Linked DNA regions of Xenopus tropicalis. The protein of the gene in region 1 purifies or fractionates together with the protein of each later gene. This does not show direct contact. Links are inferred from orthologs where the notes say so. Each region holds a gene or a part of one and is shown in the gene's direction. Other genes may lie near its edges.

Region 1 (3,974 bases):
ATAGTGGACCTAAAAAATTAATAAATTATAAAAATCATAATACAATGAATCTGTTGATCTGTTTTGAGATGCTTGGGGTCAAAAGCGCCATAAAGGCCAAATGATTTTTTGACTGGAAAGATGAAAAATATTGAATGCTAAATATAAAACAAATACACAAAAAATAAGTCTAATTAAAAGGTTACTTAATAGAGGTCCAGCTATAATTTACTAAATGTTAATAACACGAGGAACATCTGAACATCCCAAATAGCATTGGTGATTGGCTCAACGCACTGTAGACTGCAGCTGAGCATGCTAATGATCCAGTAAGAATACAGAGTATGTACTGACATTTACATGTGGGAATGTGGGAGTGAAGTTAACAGTTGCAGACGTGACACACGCAGCAGGTGCTAACACAGTATCACAGTAATACAGTAGCACAGAAACACAGTACGAGAGTAGCACAGTTTAACACAGACAGTAGTACAGTAACACAGTAGCACAGTAACACAGACAGTAGTACAGTATCACAGTATCACAGTAACACAGTAGCACAGTAGCACAGTAGCACAGTATCACAGTAGCACAGAAACACAGTAGCACAGTAGCACAGTATCATCACAGTAGCACAGTATCACAGTAACACAGTATCACAGTATCACAGTAACACAGTATCACAGTAACACAGTAACACAGTAACACAGTAGCACAGTAGCACAGTAGCACAGTAGCACAGTAACACAGTAACACAGTAGCACAGTAGCACAGTAACACAGTAACACAGTATCACAGTATCACAGTAACACAGTAACACAGTAACACAGTATCATCACAGTATCACAGTAACACAGTAACACAGTATCACAGTATCACAGTAACACAGTAACACAGTAACACAGTATCACAGTAACACAGTAGCACAGTAACACAGTAGCACAGTAACACAGTATCACAGTAACACAGTAACACAGTAACACAGTAACACAGTATCACAGTATCACAGTATCACAGTAACACAGTAAAACAGTATCACAGTAACACAGTAACACAGTAACACAGTATCACAGTAACACAGTAAAACAGTATCACAGTAACACAGTAGCAGAGTCAGGCTGATGAAAGCTTTCCTCCTTGGAAACGTACAGTCCCCACGTGCATTTGCTTCCTAGTTACGAGATTTCCCAGGTCTCATGCTCGCGAGAGTTTGAGGTGAATTTCCTTCCGTGCCTGAGTGGCTCATGCGAGTGGGACTCTCAGAGTCGGGGCCCGAGAAGGTGGGACCACGGTCGGTTCCCGAGTTCCGGGGCAAAGGGGTTTGCGACGGACGGAAAGCATGGAAGAGATAAGGGAGGGTACGAAACTGCTGAGCTCCAGTGATGTGGCCAGACTTCAGGAAGAGCATGGAAAGGTAAACAGAGGACGAGTGCCATGTTACACATGTGAATGTGGCAGAGCATAAGCCAGCCAGGGCAGAGCGCTTATGCACTAGGGTACAAGTGCGCCCAGCGGGCTTAGGGCAGCCTGTACCATGGTTAATATAGACAGTATGGGCTTGTTCCCCAGCAAAGAGAAGAGCACACAGTTGGAATAAACCACTTAGCAGCACATCACTCATTTGCTTTTTATCACTGTAACTTTTAGACTAGTCGGAGCCCATTGTTTTGTACAAAATGGACTATATTTGGGCATTATGACACAGGGCCATTATGACACAGGGCTGAGCATTGGCCATCAGGAAGGTAGCACAGGAAACTGAGAAGCAAAACAAATAAAGGAGGATGTATGTTATTGAGCAGGATGTACAGCTACTGAAAGTTATATAAGTTCCACTTGCACCAGAATATGCAGCTTAGTATTACCATTGGCGCTGCCATAAAATCTGAAAATGTTAAGGTGTAAATGCTTAATCCCATAGGGAACACAGTACTCTGTCATGTCTGTGCACATTTGACAGGTACCCTGTTTATAAGTTAGGGTCAGGCAGTGAGACGCTTCCAGCATCTTTTTAACAGGAGGGCTACAGTATGCACAGCCATGATCTAACTCAGCCGGTTGACTTTGCTAAGCATAATGTACCACTGTGACCTTTGAGTTGACTCAAATTCAGTGTTGTGCTCCATAAGAAATAAAAGTTACATTGGGCATAAAATTGACAACAATTCAGTAAATAAAGCTTGTTATCTTATAAAATTGCAGTTGTCTTAAAAGTGGCAGGACTTGCACCTTTTTTGAGCAGTAATGCTGTGCCAGCTATTAATGCAAACACCAGAGTACCTCTTGTAGCAGGAACAGTCTAAATGTCATAGGCAGTGCTATTGGTATGGCATGAGGCATGTAAATACCTTCTGTTCTCAGAAGGCCTCACACTTCATGTCTTGCAATGTAAAGGACAATTTGGCTCCTTTTACCTCTTCTCATCCTAACCAGGTCAGTTCCTCTGCTTAGCAGTTCACTTACTAGTATTACTGGAATCGTAGTTGAGAGCAAAGAGGCAATAATATAGTTATCTTGGACTCTACAGTGTTCATTGAAGCTGTGTAAGGGTGAAGACACATGGAGCTACTTAGTAGCAGCTACTTGTAATGGCTACTAAACTCCAGAAAATACCATACCATAGATAATACTGAGAATTGCCTCTTCTAACACACACGTAGAGACAATTATCAGTAAATGATCAGCACTGTCTATTTTTGTAGCTGCTACTAATAGCTCCTTGTATCTTCACCCGTATTGTTATCCCTTTAATAATCCATGCTGAAAGCTTGTACCTGAATCCTTTGCCTACAATTAGAAAACTGAAGAGCTAGCCTAGGAAGGATGTGAGCATAGTGTTCCTAATGGAAGGAGTGAGCAAGTTTTGCATATTTTTAACATATTGTAAATTTGGTGGGCTGTAAGCACAATGACTGAGCATATTTTGTACTGGTGCACATGCAGTGCAGCAAGACAAAAGGGTTAATTTGCAAAGAATTATAAGCTTATATAATGCTGAATATGACATTCTTCCAAGCTTCTGATTAGAAGCTAAGAGCTTTAAATCTCTAAGTACAAAGTATAGACTGAGGTATTTTAAGAAGGAGTTTTGGATGATTCCGATTCTCAAGTCTTCTTACCCTCTGGTAACACAAGAACACAGGCTGGGGTTTATTTACTGACATAGGGCAAGTGTGCATTGGTTCAGTAAAACGTTGCTGTTGATCAGTTCGCTCATTGAATCAGTTTACTGGATGTAGAATACCAAAGCCCTTATTTGGGTTCCTATGGGCTAACATATTGGTATAACTAGTAATTTTTGCTTGTATTGCATCATCTGTAGAGTTAGGGCTAATAATCCTATTACGATATTACAAAGCAGAATTAGAAATTTTCTGATTTCTCACTGTGTATCACACTGTGCACTGTTGCACAGACTTTTTTTGTTTTTAGTGCATTTGTCACTGTATGTGTATCGAATAAGTCATTTATGTAGTTATGACAAATGTCAAATGGCACATATATGTTTTTGCCTTTAAAATTTATGCCCACTTTTTCTGTACATGCATTTGTCTTCTGGTACAGTATTATGTGTCCCATTGCCCATCAATATAGTTATCTAATTTTGCCCTAAAAGCATGGACCCACAGGAGTGGAGACAAATGCATAATCTAGAAAGAAATCCAGAATACATGTAAAAAGTAATTTGTAGTGAGCCTTAAAGGAGGACTAAAGGAATATTGTCATGTTTTTTTTTTTTCTCCCAAAAAACACATCCATTAATAGAGCTTCTCCAGCAGAATCCTGCACAGAAATCCACATTTGTGCTGCACAGAAATGTAGGTCATAGTAGCTGATTAATAACCATTTCTCAATGCAGAACACATTGGTTTCTATAGTGACATTTATTGTGAATATAATTAATTACAAATATGCTTTATATTAACAAACTAGAATTCACAATATACTGTGCATTGTGAATCAGTCCCTAAGCAAAAGGTGACTGACAGCAGCCC
Region 2 (3,500 bases), on another chromosome or scaffold:
CAATTTTATATGTCCTTAACTTGTACTATTTACAGCAGTGTGCATGCTAAAATTAGAGCATAAAAAAAGGACTTAACTAGGGCTTTTTGTTTTTAGCCATGATTGCTCCATTTGTTATAAGTTATCTAGTGCTCATTGTAAAAGAATCAGTGGGCCCACAAACTTCTGTCTGTAGACATGTGCTCCCCTGTGCTGCAAATGAAAAAAAGCAACGGCACTCAAGGGCTTCATCCAGGGCTCTGCCCTTAAAATTCTTTATTGCGAAACATGCAACGTTTCGAGGCTAAGACCGCCCCTGTGCTGCCTCAACCCTGCAGAACGTGCAGCCATGTCAGTGTGTTGGGGTGACTTGAGACCACTTTTCTTTTGGGGAAAAGTGTGCTCACACTCCTATTAATACTTACATGTTTAAATTAGTTTTCATAGGAACATGTCTATCTCTTTAATAAAATATAACATTAACTTTTGCCATGTGTGTTTATGCACATTTTTATAGTTTTGTCACTTGTTTTTATAAAGGTTCTTCTCTGGTGTGGGTGTTTACATTCAGAATTGTCTTTTTCCAGATGGAAATGGAAATTGCCATTAATACAGTGAGTCCAAATTACTGTCGCAGCAAAGGAGAGCAGATTGCTCTAAATGTCGATGGTACATCTAATGATGACACAAGCACCTACTCAACGTATGTATATATAGCTTGCTTTTGCCTTATAAACCAATGCTTTAATGGTGCTATTAAACCCTGAACCAATACAAAGTGCGGAGACCATAAACTGGCTACTTAGAACAGACTGTGGAAAACTTATGATAAACAAAACAAATTTTACACAATTGGACGTTGATAAAGTCTTATACTGTCATACAAAATGCACTATGATCAAGTCAAATGCAGTTCAGACAGTGGACCTGCTGTGAAATGTTGCATATCGGTAAGTATGTTTTGTCTTTTTAAAAGGGGAGGAGCCAGGTGCAGCAGAAGCTTGTGTGATGGAAGATAAAGTGCAGTTGGACACTCCCAAATTACTGCAGCAATAATTAATGGTATACCGTATATACTCGAGTATAAGCAGAGTTTTTCAGCACCAATAATGTGCTCAAAAAGGCACCCTCGGCTAATACTCGAATATATACGGTAGTTACGTTCTGCGCTCGCTTGCTCCCAACCCCCCCCCCCCCGTGGACGTATGTGCAGCCTCACACCACCCCCAACCCCGGGTAGTTCCTTTACCACAGCGGAGGACGCGCATAACCAATTGTTTGAGACATTGCAGAGACTGGTGAGTAACCGTGCAACTGTGATCCACTGAGTCATTTTCATTCAGCTCCATCGCTCTTTCACCTTTGTAACTGCTCTGTGCTGTTTTCTTTCCTCACACTCGTCGCGCACGCGCAAGGCGCGACGTCTGTGTGTGCTGACGCGGTGCAGGGGGGGGGTTGCGTTTCGGTTGTGCACGTCCTCCGCTGTGTTAAACGAATATCCGCAGGTGTGGTGCATGGGGCTATGCTGAAAGGTAACCCTCTGCTTAACACTTACCTTACCTCGTCTCGACTACAGGTTAGACTGTAGGTCTGCCAACACCACGTCAATTTGTATAGCCCCTTTTGCAGTGATTCTGGCCCCCTTTTTCTGGAACACGCAACTCCCAACTCATGTGTAAAGAGTTTCTATTTGCCCATAAAAACTACTTTCCACTACTGGCTCCTGCTTATGGCTGTCAAATATAAAAGCCCTCAACAAGGAAACTTGGCAAACTGTTAGTAAGAAGGTAGGAGAGTGCAAGGGAGGAGTGGGAGCTGTAAATGTGAGCTATTATATGCAAGATGGTGCAACAAAATAGCTCCTTTCTGCATTAGATTTTTTCTTTTTTTTCTTTTTTTTTAAATGTCATGACCAATGACTTGACTTATGTATTAGCACATGAATTCATTGAACTATTTATATGTGACCTATTTACAGAATTATATGAGCTATCACCTACATTAGACTACAGGTTAGACTACTGGAGATGGCCATTTGCAATTAAACAGCTTCCTGATTTTCATTTATTTGACTTCTGTGAGGTTCTTCCTATGCTGTTCCTGAGACTCGCTTATCTGCAAGTACTTTTCTATTTGTACATCTTGGGTAGAACACATTATATAAATACTATGTAGCTGGTTAGGGTGCAGTGTGTGGGGGGGGAGGGGGCACAATAAGAGGTTGCATTGCCTAATCTGACGGTGCTTACTTGTGCCATGGCTTCATAGGTTGCCAACTACACCAGGGTATTCAAAGTGGGTCATAAAGTATATTCCCTTCCACCAACAGCATATTCTTAGTCATATCTTAAAGTCTAGTGGCATTAAGTACTTCTCTTGTAATGGGTTGTAATTAAATCTGTAGTTTGTCATTAAGGGTAATAACACACGGAACAATAGATCACTGCTAATTGTATTTGATGCGCCGGTTGGACAAGGATGGATGGTGATATTGCTGCTTATACTGTCTATTATGCAGTTCTGCAATGCAGTTCCTATTGGGCATAGGTATTACCATTCATGTTGTGGTGCTAACAGCCACATGTATTATTATAACGTATCTCTTAGGTCTGAATGTAAACTTAAAATTGCATAAGTTAGTAACAGGGGGGGTTCGCGCTGCGCTACGTGGGATATGCCACAGTTTGAAGAAAATGGGCCTTTAAGAATTAAATAACAAATGTACACATCACAATTTCAATATGTATGTAAAATTAAATGAGATATTAACCTGTACAACCTTGCATATGGTTATCTTATGTTGGATGCGCCTAATTTTCCAGCCCATACCTTGTGTTTATTAATATGGTAGTCATGTAAGCACTTGTGAGTGTCCTTTTATTAAATAATTTGATTATTGAAACTTAGCAGTAGCGGCTGCATTTCCCACCCTAGGATTATACTTGAGTCAATAAGTTTTTCCAGTTTTCTTAGGTAAAATTAGGTACCTCGGCTTATACTCGAGTATATACGGTAATTATTATACAGCAGACCCCACAACCATTGGGGTTGCTGGTGCAGAGAGGGCCTTGTCCTAGTAAGGATTCTGTGCTCCACCATCTGCCCCACCACAACTTCCGCCCTATAGTTAAATGGAAAATAAATTAATAAATTATCATGTCATTTAGGTTTATTTTAATTAATTGCTGTTTGCTCTGTTCCCATCTGTCTTTGCCAATTTCCTAGATTATTGCAGTGCATTATAATAGGGAGCTTCTAATTCTCTGTGATGGATGTCAACAAATATCTCTGTAAGGGATAGCACTATTATGTTTTCTATTTATCTAGATTGGAAGCTCGTGGGAAAGTGTCCTTCAGTCTTCTCTAATCACACCTAGATTTTAATTAATTACTTAGACCAGTGCTGTCCAACTTCTACGGTGCCGAGGGCCGGAATTTCTCTAGCATACATGGTGGAGGGTCGCTAATGGAAGCCAGTTTTGACCACTCCCCTTTTTGAAACCACACCCACTTCAAACCAC
Region 3 (4,026 bases), on another chromosome or scaffold:
CTGAGCCACAGAGATGCCTGACACCCCAACACTGAGCCCATAGAGATGCCTGACACCCAACACTGAACCATAGAGATGCTGACACCCCAACACTGAGCCACAGAGATGCCTGACATCCCAACACTGAGCCATAGAGATGCCTGACACCCCAACACTGAGCCACAGAGATGCCTGACACCCAACACTGAGCCATAGAGCTGCCTGACACCCCAACACTGAGCCACAGAGATGCCTGACACCCCAACACTGAGCCACAGAGATGCCTGACACCCCAACACTGAGCCACAGAGATGCCTGACACCCCAACACTGAGCCACAGAGATGCCTGACACCCCAACACTGAGCCACAGAGATGCCTGACACCCCAACACTGAGCCACAGAGCTGCCTGACACCCCAACACTGAGCCACAGAGATGCCTGACACCCCAACACTGAGCCATAGAGCTGCCTGACACCCCAACACTGAGCCACAGAGATGCCTGACACCCCAACACTGAGCCATAGAGATGCCTGACACCCCAACACTGAGCCATAGAGATGCCTGACACCCCAACACTGAGCCATAGAGATGCCTGACACCCCAACACTGAGCCATAGAGCTGCCTGACACCCCAACACTGAGCCACAGAGCTGCCTGACACCCCAACACTGAGCCATAGAGCTGCCTGACACCCCAACACTGAGCCATAGAGATGCCATAGAGCTGTCCCATAGCAGAGGAAGGATGGGTTCGGGCTGAGGGAGATGAGTAGATACAGCCTATTGGGGGAAGAAGAAGGGGGGGGGGTTGCCATGGCTACCGGGGGCTGCTGGGACCGGTAGTTCGGTAAAGGGCGGCGTTCCGCTCTCTAGGGGTATGTTACGTCATTTCCGTTCAGGCTTCCGCACCCCTCCCTCCCCCGGCTGACTGTTGTTCTAGCAGCGGTTGCCAAGGATACGGGCGGAACCGCGCAATAATAGGACCCGCTCGCTACTGACGTCACCGGCCGCAGATCTATAGGCTAGGAGTTTGCCGTTTCCCAGCCAACCAATCAGCGCCTTCCTGTGCAGCTGTGTAGCCACACCCTTTTACGCAGCGGAAAAGGCGTGGCGTAGTTCGAATTCTTAGCTCACTGCCAACCAATCAGTAGCCGCTAGGAAATTTCACGCCTGCGCAATCCAAATCCTCCGTTTACAAGAGAGGCGGGGCGCGGCGTTAGCGTGTTTGCGTCATTACCCGGCGGCGAGAAAACACGTGACTTGCTAGTACTTAGCTCCGCCTACCGCGTCCGCTTCTTCCTCGCACACAGACACCGATGGGGGACGGAGAAAAACTCAATATTGACTCCATTATCCAACGGCTCCTGGAGGGTGAGCCCCGGGGCATGCCGGGAGGGGTTAGCGGGGGCCCAACCGGGAGTGGGGCAGTTACACTGTAATGGGGGGGGGGGGGGAGTGAGTGGGGCAGTTACACTGTAATGGGGGGGGGGGGGAGTGGGGCAGTTACACTGTAATGGGGGGGGGGGGGAGTGGGGCAGTTACACTGTAATGGGGAGGGGGGAGTGAGTGGGGCAGTTACACTGTAATGGGGGGGGGGAGTGGGGCAGTTACACCTGTAATGGGGGGGGGGGAGTGGGGCAGTTACACTGTAATGGGGGGGGGGAGTGGGGCAGTTACACTGTAATGGGGGGGGGAGTGGGGCAGTTACACTGTAATGGGGGGGGGGAGTGGGGCAGTTACACTGTAATGGGGGGGGGAGTGGGGCAGTTACACTGTAATGGGGGGGGGAGTGGGGCAGTTACACTGTAATGGGGGGGGGAGTGGGGCAGCTACACTGTAATGGGGGGGGAGTGGGGCAGTTACACTGTAATGGGGGGGGGAGTGGGGCAGTTACACTGTAATGGGGGGGGGAGTGGGGCAGTTACACTGTAATGGGGGGGGGGAGTGGGGCAGTTACACTGTAATGGGGGGGGGGAGTGGGGCAGTTACACTGTAATGGGGGGGGGAGTGGGGCAGTTACACTGTAATGGGGGGGGGGAGTGGGGCAGTTACACTGTAATGGGGGGGGGGAGTGGGGCAGTTACACTGTAATGGGGGGGGAGTGGGGCAGTTACACTGTAATGGGGGGGGGAGTGGGGCAGTTACACTGTAATGGGGGGGGGAGTGGGGCAGTTACACTGTAATGGGGGGGGGAGTGGGGCAGTTACACTGTAATGGGGGGGGGAGTGGGGCAGTTACACTGTAATGGGGGGGGGAGTGGGGCAGTTACACTGTAATGGGGGGGGAGTGGGGCAGTTACACTGTAATGGGGGGGGGAGTGGGGCAGTTACACTGTAATGGGGGGGGGAGTGGGGCAGTTACACTGTAATGGGGGGGGGGGAGTGGGGGCAGTTACACTGTAATGGGGGGGGGAGTGGGGCAGCTACACTGTAATGGGGGGGGGAGTGGGCAGCTACACTGTATGGGGGGGAGTGGGGCAGTTACACTGTAATGGGGGGGGAGTGGGGCAGCTACACTGTAATGGGGGGGGAGTGGGGCAGCTACACTGTAATGGGGGGGGGGAGTGGGGCAGCTACACTGTAATGGGGGGGGAGTGGGGCAGTTACACTGTAATGGGGGGGGGAGTGGGGCAGTTACACTGTAATGGGGGGGGGGAGTGGGGCAGTTACACTGTAATGGGGGGGGGGGAGTGGGGCAGTTACACTGTAATGGGGGGGGGGAGTGGGGCAGTTACACTGTAATGGGGGGGGGGAGTGGGGCAGCTACACTGTAATGGGGGGGGGGAGTGGGGCAGTTACACTGTAATGGGGGGGGGAGTGGGGCAGTTACACTGTAATGGGGGGGGGGAGTGGGGCAGTTACACTGTAATGGGGGGGGGGAGTGGGGCAGTTACACTGTAATGGGGGGGGGGGGGAGTGGGGCAGTTTACACTGTAATGGGGGGGGGGGGGAGTGGGGCAGTTACACTGTAATGGGGGGGGGGGGGGAGTGGGGCAGTTACACTGTAATGGGGGGGGGGGAGTGGGGCAGTTACACTGTAATGGGGGGGGGAGTGGGGGCAGTTACACTGTAATGGGGGGGGAGTGGGGGCAGTTACACTGTAATGGGGGGGGAGAGTGGGCAGTTACACTGTAATGGGGGGGGAGAGTGGGGCAGTTACACTGTAATGGGGGGGGAGAGTGGGGCAGTTACACTGTAATGGGGGGGGAGAGTGGGGCAGTTACACTGTAATGGGGGGGAGAGTGGGGCAGTTACACTGTAATGGGGGGGGAGAGTGGGGCAGTTACACTGTAATGGGGGGGGAGAGTGGGGCAGTTACACTGTAATGGGGGGGGGGAGAGTGGGGCAGTTACACTGTAATGGGGGGGGGGGGAGGAGTGGGGCAGTTACACTGTAATGGGGGGGGGGGGAGGAGTGGGGGCAGTTACACTGTAATGGGGGGGGGGGAGGAGTGGGGGCAGTTACACTGTAATGGGGGGGGGGGAGGAGTGGGGCAGTTACACTGTAATGGGGGGGGGGGGAGTGGGGCAGTTACACTGTAATGGGGGGGGGGGGAAGGGAGTGGGGCAGTTACACTGTAATGGGGGGGGGGGGGAGTGGGGCAGTTACACTGTAATGGGGGGGGGGGAGTGGGGGCAGTTACACTGTAATGGGGGGGGGAGTGGGGCAGTTACACTGTATACAATAACAATAATACCTGTATATTTATATCTACTTAACCCCCCCCCCAACTGACTGAGCCCATGTCCCACAGGGGAGGGATATTTCCCCTTTAATATCACACACACACAGTATCAGGGTTCCTATCAATCTGAGGGGAGCGGCCCTGTCCCAGTGGGTCAGGCTGTAAGGAATGGCCCAATAGAAAGCTGTGTATTGGGGGGGTGGGGTCAGGGTACCAGTGAGCATCATGTGTTCCACTCAAGGTGTAATTTTTTTGGGGTATGGGCCTATGATTGGTCCCTTTTTGGGTGGGGTATGGGGGAGGGGCCTATGATTGGGCCCTTGTTGGATGGGGGAGGGGCCTATAATTGGGCCGCTGTTTGA
Region 4 (2,746 bases), on another chromosome or scaffold:
CTCTGGGCTGCTGGCACTTACCTGCACTTAGGGACCCACTCACTATATACTGTGTTTATATAGAATATAAATGTAACAGTATAAGGCTAATTAGTAAATAATTCGGATTCATATAACATGGCAGCTCAGAAACCGGTGCAATTAGCATCAGAGTTTAGTAATCAGCCCTGTAGCATCCGTTTATATGACAGACCAGCCTCATTTCTGCTTTATAATTTGCAACGACCCCTAAGCTCAGCTTCTCAGCAGCTCCAGAGAGTATGTGCAGTGTCCCGGACAGTTCTAACAGAATCCAAGATGGAGAGCTCCTCTGACAACTGTAAAAACCTATATCTTCACTACTATAGACATGCTGAAACTTTTGGCTAGTGCAGTCAGTTTAGTATATATTTATTTCTTGCCATATTCATTTTTAGGGTTTAGTTCTCCTTTAAATGGCAGGATAGCCATAGCAGCAACACCAGTTTACAGGCAGAATGGCAGCCTCAGGAGATCCGCACGAGTGAATTGTTGCAGAAAAACCTATATCCTTTATTTTGCAAGTATATTGCAGTATTCTCCATGACCTGCGGCTTTACTCGCCTTGTCAGGGGGAACATATCTGCTGCAGTTGGCATCACCAGGGCCTATTTTTTTTCTATTTTAACAGGTGGTAGAAGATGGGTATGAATTCTTTGCCAAGCGCCAGCTGGTCACGCTCTTCTCTGCTCCCAATTATTGTGGAGAGTTTGATAACGCCGGGGGCATGATGAGCGTCGATGAGACCTTGATGTGCTCTTTTCAGGTATTGGCTGCTGTGGGGCACGTATTGCTTGGTAACAGCACTCCACTATTAATAATTCAATTTTTTTTCTAAAATGTAGGTTTTAAAATTGAATGACTGTTTAATTCCTCCCTGTGACCTGGGGCTTCTGCTGAGCTCTGTATCCAACATTGTATTCACTTAGAGTAATTAAGCAGCTACGAGGATTAAATAAAGCTACTTCCTATTTCAAACTTGCATTTTACATAAATAGTTGGAGAAAAACAACTAACATTGTGGTGTACTGCTTAAAAATAATAGAATGGAACTGCCCTGTATATGTTGGCCATATACTGCCAGACCCACTAGTTTTGCAAGATCACCAAACAAGCAAATATGGGCCCAATTTGGCCACCCACGTGCTGTGCCCAATTGCGCTGGTCCTATCGATGGCCCTGGGGCCTATGGAGGCACGTCAAGGTTCTATTAATGCACCAGTGCGGTACTCACCAGGCGGGGTTTTCAGACCTGCCTGGTTTATATCTTTTCAGTCAGATATTGGTCAGGTTGGCCTTTGTGAGCCCCATACATGGGCCACTAACCTGCCGGCCCGCTTGGCACAAGGTCTGTTTATTGTTTAACAGAGGAGGGGGTTTACTGTCCCTTTTAAAGTTGAGATTTTATAATATATAAAGTATGTCATAATATAAACAGGTATGGGATCCATTATCTGGAAACCTGTTATGCAGAAAGTTCTGAATTACGGAAAGCTTGTCTCCCATAGACATCATTTTAATCAAAAAATTTGTTTTTAAAACTGATTTCCTTTTCCTTTGTAATAATACAGTACATGTACTTGATCCCAACTAAGATATAATTACCCCTTATTGGGGCAGAACAGCCCTATTGGGTTTATTTAATGGTTAAATGATTCCCTTTTCTCTGTAATAATAAAACAGTACCTGTACTTGATCCCAACTAAGATATAATTACCCCTTAATAGGGGCAGAACAGCCCTATTGGGTTTATTTAATGGTTAAATGATTCCCTTTTCTCTGTAATAATAAAACAGTACCTGTACTTGATCCCAACTAAGATATAATTACCCCTTATTGGGGGCAGAACAGCCCTATTGGGTTTATTTCATGGTTAAATGATTCCCTTTTCTCTGTGTTGCCTTAATTTACAAATACACTAGCAGCAGTGATGATATTTTATTTTTGAATTTTTAGATTTTGAAACCATCAGAAAAGAAAGCAAAATACCAATATGGGGGACTGAACTCCGGCCGCCCAGTGACGCCTCCTCGGACAGCCAACCCTCCAAAGAAGAGGTGAAGCGGAAACCCGCCGGATGAAGCACCATGTGATCTCCATCAAGACAAACTCCACCTTATAATAAGTGTGCACTGTAAAATCACCCAGCCATTCTGACCCCCCTATTACAATATCACATGCATTTACCTTCCTGAGACAGGTAAACGATTCCCAACTTTAAAAAAAAATTATTAAAAAAAAAAAAGGGCAAAATTACCCCAAATTGTTGCAGCATAACCTAAGCACCTTCTGCAGTCGGAGCTGGCGTTGCCGACTCCATGGCTGCACTAACAATGCTGAGGGTTCTCAAGAGCCCTGATTGGCGGGCAGAAATTTAGGGATTATGAAAGCCAAAGTTCCCTCTCATTAGTCGCTGTGCCGGCTGGATCTTCAGTGCATCCTCCAATTGACCGTAACCGCAGGAATTAAAAGAATTGTAAGTTTTTGTCGTTCCCCAGACACCCAGTGCTGGAGGAGTCAGCAGTGCACGGTGCCCACTCCTCTGGCTCCCAAGGGGGGGTTTCACTTTACCGTTGTCTCTAGAGTTCACCGCTTTTCCTTTACTCTCTGTGTGTGCGCGTGTGTATTTAGCCGTCATTTCCGGGTTGCACCTACTGTCTCACCATTGTGTGCTCTGCAGTAATTCGCCCACGTTTCCCCCTATGCTTTGGTTTTTTTTCTTCTCGTT
Region 5 (4,110 bases), on another chromosome or scaffold:
TACAGAGGCATCATTTTAATCCACTTCATCGGAGTGTGGCTCACAAGTAAAAAAGGTTGGGGATCCCTGCCTTAGACTATAGGCCCACTCTCCGAACTATTTTTTCTCACCCACCCTCTTTATTCTCCTAGTCTTTTTTATTTACACTATTTCTCCTCTCTGTTCCCATTCAGAAATAGGGAATGGCCATGAAGCAGGCCAAATGGTCAGGAGCAGGAGGGCCCACCGACACCTGGGCCCACCGGGAGTTTTCCTGGTATCCTGGGGGGCCAGTCCGACTGCCTGGGCTGCTGCACTTTTTGAAAAAGAGAAACACCATTCCTGTGTAGCAAGTAAGGGACTAGCACAGTGATCCCATTTAATGTTACTCCCTGAGGCCTTAATGCAGGCACTTATTTTTGAATTCCTGGCTTGGAGGCAAAAAATGAAAGTGTATAAAAATAATTACAATATAATGAACTGTTGCCCTGCACTGGTACAGCTGGTGTGTTTGCCTCAGAAAGTCTATAGTTTATATAAACAAAGGTGCTGTGTAGCCATGGGGGCAGCCATTCAAAGGAGAAAAGGCACAGGCACATAGCAGATAACAGATAAAACCCCATTATATTCTACAGAGCTTATCTGTTATCTGCTATGTAACCTGTGCCTTTTCTCCTTTTTCAAGGTTGAATGGCTGCCCCCATGGCTACACAGCAGCTTATTATATATAAATTATAGTAGAGTTACTGTAGCAAACACACAACTTTACCTGTGCAGGGCAACAGTACATTATATTTTAAATACTTTAATACACTTTCATTTTTGGCGTTACTGTTCCTTTAACCGCGCTGCCAACCTACAGGCATTAGTGACAGGGAGGAATGCAGAGTGGAAATTGTTTTCTCAATACGCCAGTATTTGGCACAATCTCTGAGGTTTTTCAAGTTTGTTTTGTTCCCCAACTCATTTTAAAGTTACTAACAGGTAAAAAAGTTAGGGTATCCCTACACTAGAACCACTTTGCTGTGTTCTCCAACTTGCCCCCCCCAAAACCCCCTATGGTTTTGCGCCAGAGTTTGGGTAAACTTAGCACAATCATTCCACAACTTTTTTTAACCATTGATGACAGTCGTCGTAGTGTTAATCAATATTTTACTATCCATGTGATCTCACAGCGCTGCCCAAAACTATATATATATATATTCCCTTCAGCACTAGGGAGGCACTCCGCAGCTCAGTGACGCCTCTGGCCCCGCCCATTCCGGAAGTCGCTGCGCTGCTTGGCGTTGTTGCCATCTCGCCAGTGTATTTCCGGGTTCCTTTGCTGCAGAGCAGAAATGCAGGAAGACGAATTGGAACGGTACGAAGTATATGCGAAATAGAAATAAAATTGCATGCTGCTGCTTGTGAGCTGTCTATGTTTTACCCCAGTGAACGCTTTATAGTGCAGAGACTGCTTGGGTAGTGGGTGAAGGATAAATAATAATATATACATGAATTGTTATGGGACAGCTGTTGCTGGGGAAGTGGGGACTGATTGGGTGCAGTTACTTTTGGGTCCTTGTTAGGAATACATAGGGGGAGATTTACTAATCCACGAATCCGAAACCGGAATGGCAAAAATTCAGATTGGAAAGAAAATTTTGCCGTCTTTTCGTCGCCGCCGCAACTTTTTCGTATTTGTCGCGACTTTTTCGTCGCCGACACGACATTATCGTATTTTGCGCAACTATTTCGTCGCCGTTGCAATTTTTTCGTATTGAGCGATTGTAAACGGCGGAAAAACCAATCCGATTTTTTCGCGACGGCGACGAAAAAGTTGCAGAAAATATACGAAAAAGTCGCAAAAATACCGATCATTGCGAAAAAAACGCATGCGGATGCCTTCGGACCGTTCGTGGATTAGTAAATCTGCCCCATAGTGTTGATCCGTAGGCTATAGAGAGCTCTTACTGGTACTGAAAGCCAGCTGGCCAGACTGTGGTTCATGTATATCACTGAAAGGCAACCAATAGCCCTTTTTGTATTGTGGAATTACAGCTTCCAGGGTTGGTTGTTGCAGTGGGAGTTAAAGTTAAACTACATCAATAAAGCAGCAATTAGAGATGTGATTTTGGTTTTCACTTTTTTGTAAAAAAAAAAAAAAATACTGGCCTTTCTATGTAATTATCTTTCTTCCCTATTAATAACATTGACATCAAGCATTATTTTGACCGGCTGGGTTGGTATAATACCAAGCAGCCATAGATGGAATTAGGATTGTGCACATTTACATGTCTCTGGGAAGCACTGTGCATGGTTCAGGATTTGTAGGTCCCATAGATTTTGCTTAGAACACTCTCAGCCCACTTATAATAAAATAGTAAACCAATAAAAGCAGTTTGGTCATGCAGTTTTTGGTGCCGTTGCCATATTAATACATATTCAGTGTACTTGCCTGGAGACCAAAAGAAGAGACTGCTAGTTGGAGGCAGATTTGTTGAAATAATGGAATTTTTAAAAAAAAAACGTAAAGTATACTAATGTTTAATAATGTTAATAGGCCTTATTTCATGCGTTTGATACATTTTTTGTCCTCTTTAAATTGGTGTAAAAGAACTTTCCCCCCAAAACATGTGTGTAGATTTTTATTTATGTAGCAATACTTATATATGTTGGGCTGTACAGCCGATATTGTTAATGCTAATTTCTTGCTCTTTTATGCCGATGCAGGAAAGCTGTAGAAGAGCTTCTCAAAGAAGCAAAACGTGGCAAGATCCGAGCTGAAACTATGGGACCAATGGGCTGGTAAGTGGTTTCTTTATACAATTTTTAATGATATATGTGCGTGTAACACTATTGTATGGTTAGTAACTGTGTTCATATTAAAAATACTGGTGTGTTTATAAAACTTGAAAAAACTGTTCTCTTCCTTTAAAAAAGGAAATGGGTAGTCAATGGAGGGAGGTGCAAACCCCTCATACAGTTATTATAATCATCATTATTATTTTCACTTAAAATACACTGGCCCTGTGTACTATTCTTGTGAGGCCTGTCCTGTGCCTATGTGCAGCATAGTAAAATGTGTAATTCAATGTGAAATGACAGGTAGGCTTCTCTTGCACTTAAACACAGAGTAGGGCCACTGCAAAGATTCAGAGAACAGCAATAAGATGACTGCATGGCGCTAATAAGGATAATACCCCAAGCCAGTCATAGGTAAGTGATTATAATCTAGGAATCCCAAACCCGAAATATGCTAATTAGGAAGAGAAAGGGGGAAAAATTGCAGCGTGCGCAGCAAAAAATTTTTCCCCCTACCATATAATCCTTACAAACATGGGCGTCCGCAGAAAATTTTCCAAGGGGGGGCAAGTAAGCTAGCATCATCCTGCAACAGACAAATATATATATATATATATATTTAAAAATATATATTTTTTTTTTGCAGGATGATACTAGGGGAGGCTAAAGATGGCCCATACACAGTCCGACCTACAGCTAATGTGACACTTAGTGGATTCGCTGCTGGCGTAAAAAGTTAACCTCCCAACTACCTCTTGCCGTTCCCACTGACTACCAGGGATACTGTACAAAAGTGCGGGTGGGGGTGCTTTTTTTTTTTTACCCTAAAATGTTTAGGATGTAAAAGTATTCATACGCGCACGCGGGATCTGCAAACATTTGTGTTTGTGATCAGTTAGCTTAAAGGGGTAGTTCGCATTCAATTCACTTTTATTTTTAATGGTTTTTCAGTTATTTAGCTTTTTGTTCAGCAGCTCTCCATTTGGTATTTCAGCAGCTATCTGGTTGCTAGGGTCTTATTTACCCTAGCAACCAGGTAGTGGTTTAAACAAGAGATGGGAATATGAATAGTTAAGGGGCCTACTTAGAAAAATAAGTAATACAAAATTATAATAATAATAAAATTGTAGCCTCACAGAGCAATATTTTTTGGCCCCCATTTGAAATCTGTATAGAGGCAGAAGAGAAAGGCAAATTATTCAAAAAAATTAATTAGAAAGACCAATTGCAAAGTTGCTAGGAATAGGCCATTTTATAACATACTAAAGGTTAACTTAAAAGTGAACCACCCCTTTAGATGTGTTTATGTTAGTTTTATAGCAAGAAAGGCAGTGGGTACTGACTCCC
Region 6 (4,196 bases), on another chromosome or scaffold:
GGATGTTGGGGAGGACGCTGGGGGAAGCTGAAGGATGTTGGGGAGGACGCTGGGAGGAGCTGGAGGAAGGGAAGGGGCAGCTGGAGGATGTTGGGTGGGATGCTGGGGGAAGCTGGAGGATGTTGGGTGGATGCTGGGGGGAGCTGAAGGATGTTGGGGAGGATGCTGGGGGGAGCTGAAGGATGTTGGGGGGAGCTGAAGGATGTTGGGGAGGACGCTGGGCGGAGCTGGAGGAAGGTAAGGGGCAGCTGAAGAATGTTGGGGAGGACGCTGGGGGGAGCTGGAGGATGTTGGGTGGATGCTGGGGGAAGCTGAAGGATGTTGGGGAGGACACTGGGAGGTGCTGAAGGATGTTGGGGAGGACGCTGGGGGGAGCTGGAGGATGTTGGGGAGGACGCTGGGGGAAGCTGAAGGATGTTGGGGAGGACGATGGGGGAAGCTGAAGGATGTTGGGGAGGACGCTGGGAGGAGCTGGAGGAAGGGAAGGGGCAGCTGGAGGATGTTGGGTGGGATGCTGGGGGAAGCTGGAGGATGTTGGGTGGATGCTGGGGGGAGCTGAAGGATGTTGGGGAGGATGCTGCAGTTGGGAGCGGCCCATAGTATGGGGACACCGGGGGAGGACCAGCAGTATTTTAGGGGGTCCCTGCTCTAGCACCAATGCAAAATATAACACCTGGCTACCTATATTTTAGGGGGCCCTGCCTACCTATGTCCGTCATGAGTCTGTCATTAAATACAGGTGCCATAGTGCATAATGAAATCCTTAGGGCCACAATATGTCATAAAATGATTGGGGCCACCGTGTCTGTCTTATGGTGCGCTTTGTGTATGTTATGCTTTTCAGGCGTGGTTTTGTAAAATGGGCCTGTTTGGGTGGGGGCGTGGCCAAAAGTGGGTGTGGCCTAACAATTGTGCCGCGCTACGCGTGGCAGATATTTTTGTCCCTCCTTCTGCTTTTCAAAGTTGGGGGGTATGCAGTACTCATTTATCAACACCCAGCAAAGTTGGCCATAGGTAGCAACCATGGCAACAAATCAAATTGTTTCTTTCATTGTTCCACATGCAGCTGGCTAAAAAACGCCCACAAGGTTACTGCCCACAAGCAAATTTTCCCAATTTTGGTAAATGAGCCTCATATGTTCCCGCATAACAGTTCACTGAGGATTAAGTGTTTACAGTACAGTATGTTCCCTTAAGTGTTCTCTCTCCATACATCTCCCTGAGCCAGCCAAGATCTCATTTGCAGAATTTGATTCTTTTCAATCTGCCGCTAAAACATAGCCTTAGCCTCGAAAGTGCGATCACATGGTATTGTCACGTGATGCCGCAATGTTCTTACAGAGGATAAGGAACTAGCTGCAACCACCCGAAAACATTGGCGTTAGAGAAATGTGAAAAAATAGCGCATTGTCTTTCTCGTCACTTCCTGTTCTGAAACCGGAAGCAGTGTTGATGAGTTTTGTTTTCGTCACTTCTTGTTCCAAAACTCAAGCGGTCTCTTCACGCAGTGGCGATCCTGATTGTTTGCAGCGCGTTGAAGGTTTAGCATATTTGTTCCTAGTATATACTGTGACTTATACTCTCTCAAAATGTACGATGCTGATGAAGGTAAGGGCGCTGTATCTTGTTCGACACAATGCTTTTTCTCTTTTCGCTACCTGTTGTCGCCAACAAATGAAGTAAATCATGGTTTAATAGGTTTTAGATTGTGATTGGTAAGGCATTGGCATTTTCAGACGATGTTACCATCCTTCAAGCATTTGGCATTTCTTTATGTAAGTACCAGCTTGTCTGTATTGATAATATTTGCAAGATATTCTAAATGTTAGGCATCCCCCAACTGATTGTAATAGCTTACATGATACACCTGTCTTGTGTTAGCAGAAAACTGCACTGCCCCAGGGTATTTCTGCAAAAATTCTAAACTCAATCTTTCTTCATCTTAATTTCATTGGGGTGCAGACATGCAGGCATGTGCCTTCTGGAGCACAGGAGCACCTGCCTATCAGTTGCCCAGTGATTTAAACTTTCCCTCTACTTTAAGATTAGTTTCTGGCATTTCCCTAGAACTGCTGTGAAACCTATATAATCAATCTGTAAAAAGTTGGCAGACTGGCTTACCAAGTGGTCCTGGGAAACATGAGAGTTGGGAAATAGAGTATTTCCTATTTAAACTTAAATTTTAGAAAAACTTAGAAAGTACTATTAATTAACTATACTGTTAATTAGTATTATTAACTAAGTAAAAAAACATATGTTTTGTGAAGGCTACCCATTCTGTTGGTTACTTTTAAAGGGGATGGTGTAAAAGATGTTTTACTCCTACATAATTATATTTTGCTTTGCTAGATATGCAGTATGATGAAGATGATGATGAAATCACTCCAGACCTGTGGCAGGAGGCATGTTGGATTGTTATTAGGTAAGACTGTTTGGTTTGTATTTTTTATTTTGCTTATGACACAACAAGAATTCTCATTTTGGTAGATATATGTTAATAGTTAACTGCCTGACATGTTACTTGATATAGATGTAAAAATATTTACACAGAACCTTGTCTCAGAAAACCATGTTTCTGAGCAGAAGGGGCAGCAGAAATCAAACCCTGGTAACTAAATACTGGTACTTTAACTAGAAATGTTAGCTTTTCTAGTGCAGATTCCAATCATGTTCTGCAGTAGTAATGCAGAAAAATGGCATCAGGAACATAGCACCAGGGTGGCACATAGTCGCCTATGAAAGGCTCTATCACATTAATATGGTCTTTGTGATTGAGTTTGGGTGGTTCCACTGGACTGTGAAGTATGTTAAGACACTTTCCAACATGCTTATAGATCCACTAGTAATCATGCAGATATTATAGCAATAAAGATTAATATATATTTGGATTGGACTGGATGTCGTAAGGACAAAAAAGCACCTTGGAAACTTTTTTTCTTGATTGTTTTCTTTTAAAAGTAAATAAGCCTCAGAAAACATGCCCATGTGTTGTTAGTTTAGTCATTGTCAGCCCAGTGGTAACAGCATTTTTTTTTAAAAGTAACTTTTTATTAATTAATAACATATAATGGGAGAAGGAAGAGAGGTAGAAGTTGGAGTGTGCATTTAGGAGACTTAAGTTACAGACGAGTTAAGCCAATAATTCCATATCTTCTCGAACTTATGCAGACATCCTCTGGCCTGGTAGGTTAATCTGTAGAGCTCCAGCCAGGAATATACCAGTTTTATCCATTTATGGAGTGATGGAGGAGAAGGACTCCTCCAGTGTAGGGCAACTGTTTTGTTGGCGTAAAACAAAAGTGTTCGCATAAGTAGTCTGGAGGCAGTCCTGGATAACAAACCCAACAGACATATAAATGGCATTAAAACTTTAAGTTAGGAGAGTACATCTGAGAGTGTATGACTTATCTCCAGAACCTCTGAAATCCAGATAGTACCATAATAAATGTATGAAGTCAGCATCAGAGACATTGCAGCAAATGCATCTGGAGTGCTCTGCGTGACCCATTAAGTGCAGATTCTTTGGTGTTAGGTAGGTATGGTGCATAATTGAGTTGAATTGTGAAGACCGCTCTCCTCCCACTTTAGTTTAACCCTGGGTCTGGGGTCATATTTTTTCTGTTTTATGTCTGGAGAAAATATAGTTGTTGACATGGAGTTTCCTGGGTTTGCTATGTATAGGAGGGTATCATCAGCATAAAGGGAGATCTTCTCCGCCTTAATATTTTAGTCCCTGAACCTGGGGGGTTTGCTCTGGCAATAAAACCCATAGCTCTCCTAATCAGACAAACAGGAGAGGGGATAGAGGGGTTTAATTCTCTGTGGGTTTACTGTACATCATACTTGCCGTAGGTATGGCCATTCCATGGAATTGAATGCTATAACGGTGTCAATGGATGCCACTAAGCGTGTTCCACCATTGTCATGTGCTATTTGTAAATTAAATATAAGAAATCAATTCTTATATTGATGGCCGTGGATTTGGAGGGGATAAAACCAGATTGGTCTGGATGAACCAGTGTTGTGATAACTAATCTTCTGCACCTCTAGATCTTTTGCGCATATGTGTTTTTTTTTTAGTTTTTTTTTACTGGAGAAGCAGCCAGCTTTATCTGCAGCTTCTTTCTAAATCTTGTTGCATTATAGTACATATTCTGTTTTGTAACACAAACTTGTAATGCTTTACATGCATTTTC
Region 7 (3,500 bases), on another chromosome or scaffold:
GCAGAGTGCCATTGAGCCCTATGGGAGACTTTCCTTGGGCCAGGTTGGAGCTGCACAGTGCCATTGATTCCTATGGGAGAATTTCCTTGGGCCGGGTTGGAGCTGCAGAGTGCCATTGAGCCCTATGGGAGACTTTCCTTGGGCCAGGTTGGAGCTGCAGAGTGCCATTGATTCCTATGGGAGGCTTCCAAAATCATGCACAGAAGGATCAAAGTCGGAAAGGGTTGCCTGCATTTTACGATTGTTCGGTACGAAAATTTCAAGACTTTCGGATCGGCAATACGATATCGTGACTAATGAGATTTTTTCATAAGCATATTCGTGATATTTGCGATCTTAAGAAATTATCGTATCCAATCCGAATTTATCCCATTTGGGATTCGAACTCATGTTTTCATTTAGTGTATTTATGTATGTATCTTACATCAAGCAAGAACATAGTCCTACAAACTGCAGTTGTCTATGAGGCTAATACATTGGTACAAAAATCAACTTTACATTGATTGGTCATTCACATTCTTGGTTGCTATTTTAAAATTGTACTTGTAGTGTCAATATAGAGTGGTGCCATTGCAGTATGAACATCCTTTTTAAGTATTCTGTTGTACTAATTTGCATTATTTCTCCCCATAATATGCTAGAACCAGGCTGACTGTTTAACATATTAGTCAATTAGAAACCAGATAAAGCGGTGACTGGCTACCTACCTACCCTTGCTTTTGGGTGAGGATTATTGGTTACAAGTGAGTGGTGTGTCTTGATGGACCACAGTGGCTCAGCAGCATTTTAAACCCTTATTGAGGTTGGGCTTCATATATTCATGACTACAGGATGTGATTTTTCTAAAATATCAACCCTTTTTAGTATACTATTTTCAAAATTGAATGTCATGGTTTATTATACCCTTTATGTTGAACCATTTAATTTTGTTCTAGTTAGAGGATCAAAACCGGGAAAAAATGTTCAGCTTCAAGAGAATGAGATTCGAGGGCTCTGTCTGAAGTCTCGGGAAATCTTCCTCAGTCAGCCAATCTTGCTTGAGCTTGAAGCTCCTCTTAAAATATGTGGTAAGTGCCGTGTTTAATTACCAGTGGTTATGTTGGTAGAGTAGATTCCACTTACCTGCCAGTTAGCAGGGCTGCACAAGTTTGATCTGGTCTAGTCTACCTATACATGTCACTTCCTGCTTATGGTAGACATAATGCTACCGTTCATGAATAACCTAGTTCTGACTGGAAACTTATTAGTCAAACCTGTACAGACATCAGAAATGTGTGCAAACTCTCTCTGCAACAACTGATTATCAAGCATCTCCACCTAATGGTGAGCAAAGGCCACTGCAGCTATTAATAAATCTCTTCTCCCTAAGGAAGCTATAGCAATAGTATTGGCAACATGGCAAATTCACTTATATTGATAAATGAACCTATTAATGCCAAATTACTCATCCCTAAATGGTAAATCTTTTTTCAAGAAATGGTTGGCTCAGTTACAAACAGTAAATGTATTTACCTTTTTAGTCTTGTTGGCAAAGGGGGCCTAACCAACCATTTTGTGTGTTCTTGTATATGCCATCTGAACCTGTGAGATGAACTGAAGCTCCTCTGTACCAACAGATGTTTGATAAAGTACAGATTTGGGATTCCTCATTTGGAAATCCATTATCTAGAAAGCTCTAATCTATGGGAAGACCATCTCCAAGTCCATTTTAGGGTGAAGATACACAGAGCTACTAGTAGCAACTACTTTTTCATGGCTACTAAACACCAGAAAATACCCTGCCATAGACAATACTGAGAATTACCACTGCTAAAACATATGTAGAGACAATTATCAGTAAAACATCAACATTGTCTATTTTAGTAGCCACAGCAATTAGCTGCTACTAGTTGCCCCATGTGTCTTCACCCTTAGGGCTGTGACAGACGGGGAGATTAGTTGCCCGCGACAAATATCCCTTGTCACGGGCGACTAATCTCCCTGATATGCCATCCCACCAGCTAGAATGTAAATTGCCGGTTGGATGGCATTTCGGGGAGATTAGTCACCCGCGACAAGGGAGATTTGTCGAACGGCGACTTATCTCTCCGTGTGCCACAGCCCTTAAGCAAATTACAATTTTTATTTTCTCTGTAATAAATAACCGTACCTTTTGTTGCACAGTGATTTATTTTGTCTGCCTTTATGTTTGGTATAAAATGTTTTTCCCCCCTTCTCTATTGCTGGCCAGCAAACCTTTTTTTCTGTCCACTTTATTTCTCTGCAGACAAAATAATAAACTATGCTATCTGTTTTACCCAGCATTACAAAAATCGCCAAAAATAGTACTTGCCATGTGTGTCTGTTTCCATTCAATACAATGTGAGCAGGAGACATGCACTGAGCTTAATTGGCAATTGGTAAAACCTGCAGCAAGTCTCCTCTAAACAAAATGTTTCTCTTATATGCTAATGACATTGTTGTGCCTGTTTTTTTTTCTATTAATAAGATTCTAAGCTTATAGAGCAATAGAAAGCAAAAGTTATATTTATATACATTTTTTTTGTTAATAGTTTGTTTTGTTGTAACTAAATGTGCCTTTAAAGGAGAAGGAAAGGTAAAAACTAAGTTAGCTTTATCAGAAAGGTCTATGTAAATACAGCCATAAGCACTCGCAGAAACGCTGCACTGACTTCTCTGTGAAAAGATTTCTTGTGTCTAATTCCTGTGCCAGAGACACGCAGCCTTCTGCTGTCTCCCCTCTCCTGCCCCCCCTCCCTTAAGAATGCTAAGAACTCCCTCCTCCCCCCCCCCCCCCTTAGGAATGTGGATTTCAGCCAATCAGTAGGAAGCTGACTCAGTCTAACTGAGCATGTTCACTTGGTCTGGGTGTCTGTGCAGGAGTGAAGCATTATGGGAACTTTCTTTACACAGCTCAGCGTTTTTTCTTCCTGTTTGGCTTCTGATCATCTGTACAGGACAAATATGGGGAGACTTAAGGGCACTATTGAGAGAACTGAAGGTATGCCTGCAGCTTGAGATTAACTCTTTACTAGCCTTTCCTTCTCCTTTAAGAGCATGGGCTGCTGGGAAAGGCAAACTCACATACTTAAGTAACATACATTAGAACTCCAGATCTCAGAGTATAGGGAAGCTGCCTGAAAAGAGGTAACTGAATGTGCGGTGTTTTATTCTGGAGTTGGAACTGTGCTTTCTGTGAAAAGTTAGCAAAGACGGTTTTGTTTTGATTTTTCGCTCTGGAAATAAATTTATCTTCCAACAACTGCCAGCTCCTGATCTTTAAAAAATGCTGTAAGTACCCACACCCTAACAACCTTGTACTTTATTAGGTTAGCTTTATGCTATGGTGGCCCACATGATAAAGACCCCCTTATCCACAAAACCCAATTTCAAGTTTGGCAGATCATAGATCCTCTATCTGAATAATAGAGGTCTGATAACTGTTAGAGGTAATGCTTGGCTACTTCCAATGTGTAGACTGGCTTATTAAAAAAAAAAAA

The links.
Region 2: the proteins of uri1 (region 1) and polr3e purify together in Homo sapiens (affinity purification with mass spectrometry; 4 studies listed by BioGRID and IntAct, with this or other methods). This does not show direct contact. The link is inferred for Xenopus tropicalis from reciprocal best matches to the Homo sapiens genes URI1 and POLR3E.
Region 3: the proteins of uri1 (region 1) and ppp1ca purify together in Homo sapiens (affinity purification with mass spectrometry; 7 studies listed by BioGRID and IntAct, counting the BioPlex papers as one, with this or other methods). This does not show direct contact. The link is inferred for Xenopus tropicalis from reciprocal best matches to the Homo sapiens genes URI1 and PPP1CA.
Region 4: the proteins of uri1 (region 1) and ppp1cb purify together in Homo sapiens (affinity purification with mass spectrometry; 3 studies listed by BioGRID and IntAct, with this or other methods). This does not show direct contact. The link is inferred for Xenopus tropicalis from reciprocal best matches to the Homo sapiens genes URI1 and PPP1CB.
Region 5: the proteins of uri1 (region 1) and uncharacterized protein LOC496835 purify together in Homo sapiens (affinity purification with mass spectrometry; 4 studies listed by BioGRID and IntAct, with this or other methods). This does not show direct contact. The link is inferred for Xenopus tropicalis from reciprocal best matches to the Homo sapiens genes URI1 and POLR1D.
Region 6: the proteins of uri1 (region 1) and polr2b purify together in Homo sapiens (affinity purification with mass spectrometry; 3 studies listed by BioGRID and IntAct, with this or other methods). This does not show direct contact. The link is inferred for Xenopus tropicalis from reciprocal best matches to the Homo sapiens genes URI1 and POLR2B.
Region 7: the proteins of uri1 (region 1) and ppp1cc purify together in Homo sapiens (affinity purification with mass spectrometry; 9 studies listed by BioGRID and IntAct, counting the BioPlex papers as one, with this or other methods). This does not show direct contact. The link is inferred for Xenopus tropicalis from reciprocal best matches to the Homo sapiens genes URI1 and PPP1CC.

The regions. Positions count from the first base shown.
Region 1 is NC_030680.2:71,279,342-71,283,315, reverse strand, and holds the start of uri1 (unconventional prefoldin RPB5 interactor 1), read left to right. Parts: upstream 1-1,174; 5' UTR 1,175-1,318; coding exon 1,319-1,393; intron 1,394-3,974. UniProt on the Homo sapiens protein: Involved in gene transcription regulation. Acts as a transcriptional repressor in concert with the corepressor UXT to regulate androgen receptor (AR) transcription.
Region 2 is NC_030685.2:25,090,252-25,093,751, forward strand, and holds part of polr3e (RNA polymerase III polypeptide E), read left to right. Parts: intron 1-566; coding exon 567-682; intron 683-3,500. UniProt on the Homo sapiens protein: DNA-dependent RNA polymerase catalyzes the transcription of DNA into RNA using the four ribonucleoside triphosphates as substrates.
Region 3 is NC_030685.2:488,231-492,256, forward strand, and holds the start of ppp1ca (protein phosphatase 1, catalytic subunit, alpha isozyme), read left to right. Parts: upstream 1-1,226; 5' UTR 1,227-1,296; coding exon 1,297-1,351; intron 1,352-4,026. Other genes in the region: npipb11 (nuclear pore complex-interacting protein family member B11), read right to left, coding at 865-869. UniProt on the Homo sapiens protein: Protein phosphatase that associates with over 200 regulatory proteins to form highly specific holoenzymes which dephosphorylate hundreds of biological targets.
Region 4 is NC_030681.2:5,972,041-5,974,786, forward strand, and holds the end of ppp1cb (serine/threonine-protein phosphatase PP1-beta catalytic subunit), read left to right. Parts: intron 1-649; coding exon 650-784; intron 785-1,974; coding exon 1,975-2,079; 3' UTR 2,080-2,246; downstream 2,247-2,746. UniProt on the Homo sapiens protein: Protein phosphatase that associates with over 200 regulatory proteins to form highly specific holoenzymes which dephosphorylate hundreds of biological targets.
Region 5 is NC_030678.2:155,277,705-155,281,814, reverse strand, and holds the start of uncharacterized protein LOC496835, read left to right. Parts: upstream 1-1,310; 5' UTR 1,311-1,316; coding exon 1,317-1,339; intron 1,340-2,691; coding exon 2,692-2,766; intron 2,767-4,110.
Region 6 is NC_030677.2:92,024,917-92,029,112, forward strand, and holds the start of polr2b (DNA-directed RNA polymerase II subunit RPB2), read left to right. Parts: upstream 1-1,396; 5' UTR 1,397-1,589; coding exon 1,590-1,608; intron 1,609-1,698; exon of another isoform or gene 1,699-1,775; intron 1,776-2,349; coding exon 2,350-2,422; intron 2,423-4,196. UniProt on the Homo sapiens protein: Catalytic core component of RNA polymerase II (Pol II), a DNA-dependent RNA polymerase which synthesizes mRNA precursors and many functional non-coding RNAs using the four ribonucleoside triphosphates as substrates.
Region 7 is NC_030677.2:162,949,433-162,952,932, reverse strand, and holds part of ppp1cc (serine/threonine-protein phosphatase PP1-gamma catalytic subunit), read left to right. Parts: intron 1-935; coding exon 936-1,067; intron 1,068-3,500. UniProt on the Homo sapiens protein: Protein phosphatase that associates with over 200 regulatory proteins to form highly specific holoenzymes which dephosphorylate hundreds of biological targets.